2 linked regions of the Cricetulus griseus genome follow. The protein of the gene in region 1 interacts with the protein of each later gene in a biochemical or structural test. Links are inferred from orthologs where the notes say so. Each region holds a gene or a part of one and is shown in the gene's direction. Other genes may lie near its edges.

The links.
Region 2: the proteins of Rdx (region 1) and Arhgdia form a complex in vitro, tested with the Homo sapiens proteins (2 studies listed by BioGRID and IntAct). The link is inferred for Cricetulus griseus from reciprocal best matches to the Homo sapiens genes RDX and ARHGDIA.

The regions. Positions count from the first base shown.
Region 1 is NC_048597.1:163,762,412-163,766,218, forward strand, and holds part of Rdx (radixin), read left to right. Parts: intron 1-1,377; coding exon 1,378-1,473; intron 1,474-1,949; coding exon 1,950-2,224; intron 2,225-3,516; coding exon 3,517-3,600; intron 3,601-3,807. UniProt on the Homo sapiens protein: Probably plays a crucial role in the binding of the barbed end of actin filaments to the plasma membrane.
Region 2 is NC_048600.1:133,068,009-133,072,372, reverse strand, and holds Arhgdia (rho GDP-dissociation inhibitor 1), read left to right. Parts: upstream 1-1,393; 5' UTR 1,394-1,528; intron 1,529-2,092; exon of another isoform or gene 2,093-2,241; intron 2,242-2,748; 5' UTR 2,749-2,770; coding exon 2,771-2,960; intron 2,961-3,077; coding exon 3,078-3,161; intron 3,162-3,381; coding exon 3,382-3,458; intron 3,459-3,544; coding exon 3,545-3,608; intron 3,609-3,699; coding exon 3,700-3,899; 3' UTR 3,900-3,984; downstream 3,985-4,364. UniProt on the Homo sapiens protein: Controls Rho proteins homeostasis. Regulates the GDP/GTP exchange reaction of the Rho proteins by inhibiting the dissociation of GDP from them, and the subsequent binding of GTP to them.

The DNA.
Region 1 (3,807 bases):
GTAAAATGAAATTAATAAATGAAAAAAATTGTTTAAGTTAGCCAAAAATGCTTTCTGCTTAAATGAAGTTAAATCTTTTGTATTAAAAAAAAAATAGTATAATGTGGTGGTATCCTGGTAGGTATTCTGATTCTGCCACTTTATTCCAGTCCTTAGAATGCTCATCACAGATTAGTGTTCATTTGCAACACAGTTCTCACCTCAAAGAGAATAAGTTTATTTTGAGCCCTTTAGGAACACATACACAGGTTGATTTGACTACATGGTTCTGTGGATTCCTGCAGTCACAGAACAAGAAAGAAGCATATAACATTCACCACTCTGGTGGAGACAGTAGGCAAATGGATTACAGCAATAGGGAAGAACTCCACTGTATGTTTCAGATGTTATCTGATGACATACTTAGCTTAGGGTTAGTAGAAGCTGGTGATCTGCTAAACTAACAGAGTCTGAAGGTGGTTTCTTGTTGTTTTGTCCTTTAAACTAGATTGTTGAAAGGATGTTAGGTCAGATAAGGACGAGCACAATGAATGGCAGTGACAAAGACCAAAGATAACAACAGGATAATTTGTGCATCTGTAACATTTCAACTCTCCATGCTTAGTCTTGTAAAATTTCCGCGCTTAGTCTTGTGCAATTTCAACATAGTGTGGCTTTTTCCTGGGAACTTTCCACTAGTCATTCTATCAGAAGACATGGATTTCAAGATGAATAAAATAATATCACTCTGTCCTTATGTGTTAAGACACATAAAAAGACACACTGTAACCTAGTTGATACAGGGAACAAATGGATAATTTCAGTTCTATGATAGAAGAGATTTTATTCACATAAAGAATGTTAGTTGATCTGGGACTTAAATAAAAAATTATTCAATTGGTGATGCAGAAGTATTGTAGGCAGAAGGAAAAGCATGAGCAACAATGTAGAATGGTGAAACTTAGGCATGGTCCAAGAATTGTTTCAGTGAAGGTAGAGTATTGAAGGCACTAGACTCTGTCACCAGAGTGAAGTGCTTTGCCCTAGGTACCGGTGGGACACTTGGAGGGAATCAAATAGGAATATAGGCTTGCCCCATCTGTGCTTCTATCTTTCACACTGTTCTTTCATTTATTGAGGCTGTGATGTGAGCCAAGCAAATGAAGATAGAAAACAGAGTCAAGAAAGAAGATAGAAGTGGCATAACAGGATTGAGAATAAAAAGAACCTGAATTGATGTTTTCAGAAATGTTCTTTGAACATGTCAAAAAGAAAAGAGTGTGTTAAAGGAAAACCCTTTTCTGTGGCACTTGTACTTGTGTAGTTTTGTCCTTGTGGTCTGTAGTGTTGAATGTCATCTGATCATTGTGTGAATGTTGAACTGAATTTGTTTTGTAGGTTGTAAAAACAGTTGGTTTACGTGAGGTCTGGTTTTTTGGGCTGCAGTATGTAGACAGCAAAGGATATTCTACTTGGCTCAAACTTAATAAAAAGGTAAGATGTATATAGTAACATTAAATTAATTTGATGTTTGTTAATCAGTGCTGAAAAAGCATTAGCAGGGTCTGACTAAGTCCAGGCCTCCTTTTGCAGTTTTCTTTTGATCATTACTCAGCCTTTTAATTCATTGAAGAATCTCGAACATTTCTACACACACACTGTGTGAACCAATGCTTGTCAGAAATAGAACTTTGAAGCAAGTGTTAACATGCATTAAAAACTAGCCCGCCAGCTGTGAATGTCTGCAGGATGAGCTCCAGTACACGAAGATGTTTTCATTCTGGCTCTTGACTGGGCTCCCAGAGCTGCTGGCAGCCTTAGGACCACACACAGGAACTTCAGCACATGCATTTGTTTACAGACTGGTATATAGCATTACTATCCACTTTCTTCAAAAAAGAATTTGATGTAAATATATTCATTTACAGTGAATTAAGTTTTGTTGATTATACTTGAAATTACTATTCTAGGTGACACAGCAAGATGTTAAAAAAGAAAATCCTTTACAGTTCAAGTTTAGAGCTAAATTCTTTCCTGAAGATGTTTCTGAGGAATTGATTCAAGAAATAACACAGAGACTTTTCTTCTTGCAAGTTAAAGAAGCCATCTTAAATGATGAGATATATTGCCCACCAGAAACTGCAGTTCTTTTGGCTTCATATGCTGTCCAAGCCAAGTATGGAGATTATAATAAAGAGATTCACAAACCAGGATACCTGGCTAATGACAGACTCCTACCACAGCGGTAAGTAAAGTATGCCTTTATTTAATATTCTCTAAAGTTATATTCCAGAAGCATATGCTAAATTTCTTTTTAAAAGTCTTTTAAGTTGCCAGGTGGATCTTAGACTGTTTTTTTTTTTTTTTTTTTTTTAAATCATGACTTAGTCATAGCACAGATTTATACCTGTTCCACTGTAGTCACATCTGTAGGATGTGCAGCAAAAGGAGATTATGGTTTGGGCTTGAGGAAAGGATATGAATTATTGTTTGTAAACATTGGAACACATGCAGGTAGATGCATAGTAAACACTGTTGCCTAGTAGAGGGCAAGAGCTGTTTCTTCCATAGAATGAAGTTTTGGTTTAGTGTGCAGTGCAGTCCCACCTTTACAACACTCAAAGCAACCCTGCATTAGGAACAAATAACTGGAGAATGAGGTTTGGGAACTGAATCTAATCTGCTCTTTGCTAGTTACACAACCTTAGATTTGTAATCTTTAAGGATCCACCATAAACAGAGGTGGTTAATTTTTCTGTGGCTGAAAGAGAATTCTAATCAGTCTATGGTGTTTGTAGTATATTATGAATATATTGCTTTTGCTGCTTTGGTGTTGAATAGAAAAATATGAATAATCAGTTCACAGTTAAGTAAGAACATTGGCAGAATACAGATGAAACACAAAGGTTACTAGAGGACAGGTGTATGGTGTGGACATAGGGTTTAGTGTGGAGTACTTGAGCACGTTGGTCCTTGAACACTGACTTTAAATTCAAAATTGGCCTGCCTCAGTGTCTTAAGTACTGGGATATAGGTATTTACCACCATGCTTGGCTTAATATATGTTTTCTTTCTTAGTAAAAAGTATTATCTGCCTAAAATGACAATGTTATATTTAGCCATATTTATATTTATATTTTCCTGTCTGTTCTTAATTTTCTGTTAATGATGAGATTTTTTTCTTCAATCCAGAGTATGATTTGTTTGAAACATTTGAGTTCTTTTAAACTATATAATGCCCATTTTAAAGCATGAATTAAAGTAATTTAAGCTATCTAAAACTTTGTTTTAGCTTCCCTTAGTAACATCTTCTATGACTTCATTATTCAGCCAGGATACTGACCTTTGATATAGCCCCATGACATTGTTTTGTTCTGTTTTACATTCTCAGTTGTGTTTTTAGTTCTATGTGGTTTTAACATGTGCACTGATTTATGTGATATGTATCTTAGTCATGTTATGAAAGAACTCCATAGACTTTGAAAAGACCTGGATTTTTTTAAATCAAAGTCATTAACTACATTTTTTTCTTTTTAGTGTTTTGGAACAACACAAACTGACAAAAGAACAGTGGGAGGAGAGAATACAAAACTGGCATGAAGAACACAGAGGAATGCTAAGGTATCTGGGAAACTAGTTTTTATTTCTTTCCTTCCAAGTTCAAGCATTTTCATCTCATTTAAAATCTTCTTGGGCTTTTGAGATGACTCAGCAAGGAGCTAAAGTTGCCGCCACACCTGATGGTCTGAGTTGAATCCCTACCCACATGGTGGGAGAGAACCAACTTCTGAGAATTGGTTGGTTGGTTTCTCCTTCCTCCTTTCCTTC
Region 2 (4,364 bases), on another chromosome or scaffold:
GCCAAGTGCTTCAAACTAAGGAGTTGTGGGTGGGTCAGAGTTCAATAAACTAGGCCCACTGGGTGCAGGACTTCGAGCCTCCTGAAAAGCTAGCTTGACTCACTGGGCGTGTTTGCGTGCGTGTGTCTCTCTGTGTGTGTCTCTGTGTGTGTGTCTGTGTGTGTCTGTGTGTGTGTGTCTGTGTGTGGTGTGCGTGCATGTCTGTGCGTGTGTGTCTCTGTGTGTGTGTGTGTCTGTGTGTGTGGTGTGCGTGCATGTCTGTGCGTGTGTCTCTGTGTGTGTGTCTGTGTGTGTGTGTGTGGTGTGCGTGCATGTCTGTGTGTGTGTGTGTGTGTGTGTCTGTGTGTGGTGTGCGTGCATGTCTGTGCGTGTGTGCGTGTGTGTCTCTGTGAGGGTGTGTGTGTGGTGTGTGTGTGCGTGCGTGTGTGTCTGTGTGTGTGTCTCTGTGTGTGTGTGTCTCTGTCTGTGTGTGTGTGTCTGTGTGTGTGTCTCTGTGTGTGTGTGTGTCTGTGTGTGTGTGTGGTGTGCGTGCATGTCTGTGCGTGTGTGCGTGTGTCTCTGTGTGTGTGGTGTGTGCGTGTGTGTCTGTGTGTGTGTCTCTGTGTGTGTGTGTCTGTCTGTGTGTGGTGTGCGTGCGTGTGTGTGGTGTGCGTGTCTGTGTGTGTCTGTGTGTGGTGTGCGTGCGTGTGTGGCAAGCGGACTCCATCACAGAGGAAGAGTGGGGACAGTCAAGTGGTGACAGCGTTTGGTTTTGCAGTAGTTTGCCACTGAGCAGCAGGGAGAGGACACTGCGGAGCCATCTTCCTCGGACGAAGAAAACAGTGCATGAAACGGTTACGCTTGAAAGGACACCTGGCTTGCTTCAGAGTTGGGGATGCGTGGCCAGGGGAACAAGTGCTCGCGTGACGTAACGAGGCCGTAAACGTGGCGGATGAACGGCGGGCGACTGTTTCCCTCCAGTCATCTTTTCAGCGCGGTGGCGGACGCCCAGGGCGGCAGCGGTGCTGGCTCTCGTCCCTGCGGAGGCTCCTGCCCGTCTCGGGGTGAGCCGGCCCCGCGGGGCGCGGCGAGGGGAACTCGTGGGGACCCCAGAGGGCCACGGCCCGCGAAGCCACGCGCCCGGCGGCGCGAGCGTGCGTGCGTGCGTGCGTGCGTGCGGCGCTGCCATCTCTGCGTTGCAGGGACAATGGGGGACGAGGCCCGGGCGCGGCGGCCGCGGAACCCGGGCGGCAGAGCGGCCGCCCCGGAGCCCAAGGGCCCGGGCCTCGGCCCACACGCGCCGCGGACGCCCCTCGATGCCCCGCGCGACGCCGCCGGCCCACGCGCGACGCGCCCACGAGGCCGGCCGCAAAATGGCGGCGGCGCCGACCGGCGCCCCCTGCCGGCGCATGCGCACGGCGCCCCCCGCCCGCACGCCCGCGAGAGCGGAAGTCTTGTGACCCCGGAAGTGACCGTCCGGGCGGCGGGCGGCGGACGACGTTCGTCACTTGGTGCGGGAGGGAGCGCGAGAGCGACGGTCGAGCCTCCGGTGAGTGGCGCGCTGCCTGGCGCGGGGCGGCGCGCGAGGGGAGGGGGCTGGCTTTGTGCGGCGACCCCGGCGCTCGCGGGCCGGCGGGCGGGCGGGCGTGCGGCGGGCCCCGGGCGAGCGCGGGCGGCGGGCGCGGTCACGGCAGCGGGCGGGCCGGGCGCCTTCTAGGTCCTGCCCGAAGCGCCGCCGCTGCCCGGGCCTGGGCGCCGCGTCCCGGTCCCGGGTCCGGGTCCCGGTGCGGGTCGGGGGCGGGGGCGCCCTTTCCCGGCCGCGCGGGCGGGGTCCGGCCTGGGGCCCGCCCGGCCTGCCGCTCCCGCCGCGCGGCCCCCCCCGCCCTCCCGGATTGCGGGCCCTGCGGAAGCGCGGGCCGCGCCCTGGATGCTGTCGCCCGCGGCCACGCTTGGCCGCGTCGGGCGGGGCCTCCGGGACCCTCCGGGTGTCGGGCCGGCGCTCCCCCCGAGTCTCTGGCGCACGCCTCCCAGAGGGGCGGCGGCTGCCCCGACCGCCGCGCATCGCCTGCAGGGCTCGAGTGGGTGTCTGGGGGACGGGTGGGGATCTGCGGAACTGAAAGGCACCGAGGCGCTTCCGTCCCGGCGTGGTTCCGCACCGCCACAGACGCTTTAGGACCAGGGTCCAGCAATGGGCTCCTGAGATTTATTTTGCAACCGGTGCACCAGCTCCCACTCTGCGTTCGCGGACCCCTCACAAGGGAGGTCGGGCTTGCATATTTACCGTCTCATTTGGTCGCCACGCAGTTGAGCTTAGGACGGTATTCCACCGGCAGGAAGGAACAGACCCTTGTCCTGCACGTGGCTAGGACACAGAGCATCCCCGTTTCAGAGAACTTCTCCCCGTGACCCAGTGAGAGTGTCTTTGGGTTAGATCCCGGGCATCTAGGGGCAGCAGCAGGACCCACGTGGTTTAACGTTGCTTCTCCCAGTTCCGTTTGGTCAGGAGGCTACTCATTCTTCATGGGGAGGAAAGCTGTTCTGCTTCTCTGAGGAACGGGCTGTGGTCCCCATTTTGTGGCTTCATGGTGTGCCTGGGGTGTAGCCCTCTCAAACGAGCCTCTTGAGTTAGTTGGGCAGTGGCAGCGCCTCCTATCTCCTCTAAAAGTTGCCCTGGCGTGGCTACCTCCATCATTTCCCGGCAGGTGTCAGGGTCCCTCTAGGTTGCAATGCCTCCGGGCTGTCACCGCTCTGCTCGCTGCCCACCCACAGGTATCCCAGGTTAGAGGTGAGCATGGCAGAACAGGAGCCCACCGCTGAGCAGCTTGCGCAGATCGCGGCCGAGAATGAGGAGGATGAGCACTCTGTCAACTACAAGCCCCCAGCCCAGAAGAGCATCCAGGAGATCCAGGAACTGGACAAGGATGATGAGAGCCTTCGAAAGTATAAGGAGGCCCTGCTGGGCCGAGTGGCTGTCTCTGCAGGTAGGTGGATGTCACCTGACCCTGTCACCACCCCCTTTCCAGTCTGCCCCCCTCCTTCCAGGGAGTTAAAAAAAATCTAAGGAATGGAGCTCTTGATTCATGACTCTTGCTCTCCAGACCCCAATGTCCCCAATGTCATTGTGACCCGCCTGACCTTGGTGTGCAGCACGTCCCCGGGCCCTCTGGAACTGGACCTGACAGGTGAGTGGGTTTTGGAGTCCCTGGGTGGGGCCAGCTGGCATCCAGCCGCTGCCCCTAAAAATAATTTTCTGCACTGGTGCCCTCTGGTGGGGCAGGGGGGAAAGTGCAGCTAGGTGCTCTCCAAGGCCCTGCTTTGTGTCACGGAAGGGGCTGTGGAAAGGGAACGTGGGGGCAGGATGGAAAGCCTCCAGGCAATTGGCTGTGCCTCCTCCCCATACAGGTGATCTGGAGAGCTTCAAGAAACAGTCGTTTGTGTTGAAGGAAGGTGTGGAGTACCGGATAAAAATCTCTTTCCGGGTAAGGTGGAGGATTGGAGAGGCCTGGCAGAGGGGCAGAGCATCAGCACTGGGGGGCCGGCTGACCCTTGCTCTGTGTCCCCACAGGTGAACAGAGAGATCGTGTCAGGCATGAAGTACATCCAGCACACATACAGGAAAGGGGTCAAAAGTAAGTGGTCGTACCGATAGAGTGGGAAGCCTGTGGGTCCCGGGAGGGGCTTGCGTGGCCACTAACCATGCCTTTCCTGTCCACACCACAGTCGACAAGACCGACTACATGGTCGGGAGCTATGGGCCCCGGGCTGAGGAGTATGAGTTCCTGACACCCATGGAAGAGGCCCCCAAAGGCATGCTCGCTCGGGGCAGCTACAACATCAAGTCCCGATTCACAGACGATGACAAGACGGACCACCTGTCCTGGGAATGGAACCTCACCATCAAAAAGGAGTGGAAGGACTGAGCTCCAGCTGGGAGGCGGGCAGGGCGGCGGACAGACAGAAGGACCGACATGCCCCACCCCCAACCCCTACCCACCCCAAACCAAAGTGCTGACAGGACCCTCCCTCACCATTCCTCCCCTCTTCTGTCTGCCCCTCCTCCACCTCCTGCCTGCAGGCCCCTGTGGTCTCCAGTGTTGTCACATTGCTGCTTCTGCCTGTGCAGTGGGGGAGGGGTTTCAGCCCAGGCCTCCAATCTGCTGTGTCCCCCAGGTTTCCTCTGTCGTCCCTTCCTCAGGCCCTGGCTTCTAGAATGGAATGGAACACTGTCTGGGTTGCCCAGCCCACCTTGTCTCTGCCCCAGCTGAGCTAGCTAGAATGCTGGGCCTGGGGGAAGGGCTGGGTTGTGTCCTCTAAGCACCACCCCCCCTGGCCAGGTCATCCATCACTGTCAGTCACTGTCTAACCATGATGCCTTAACATGTGGA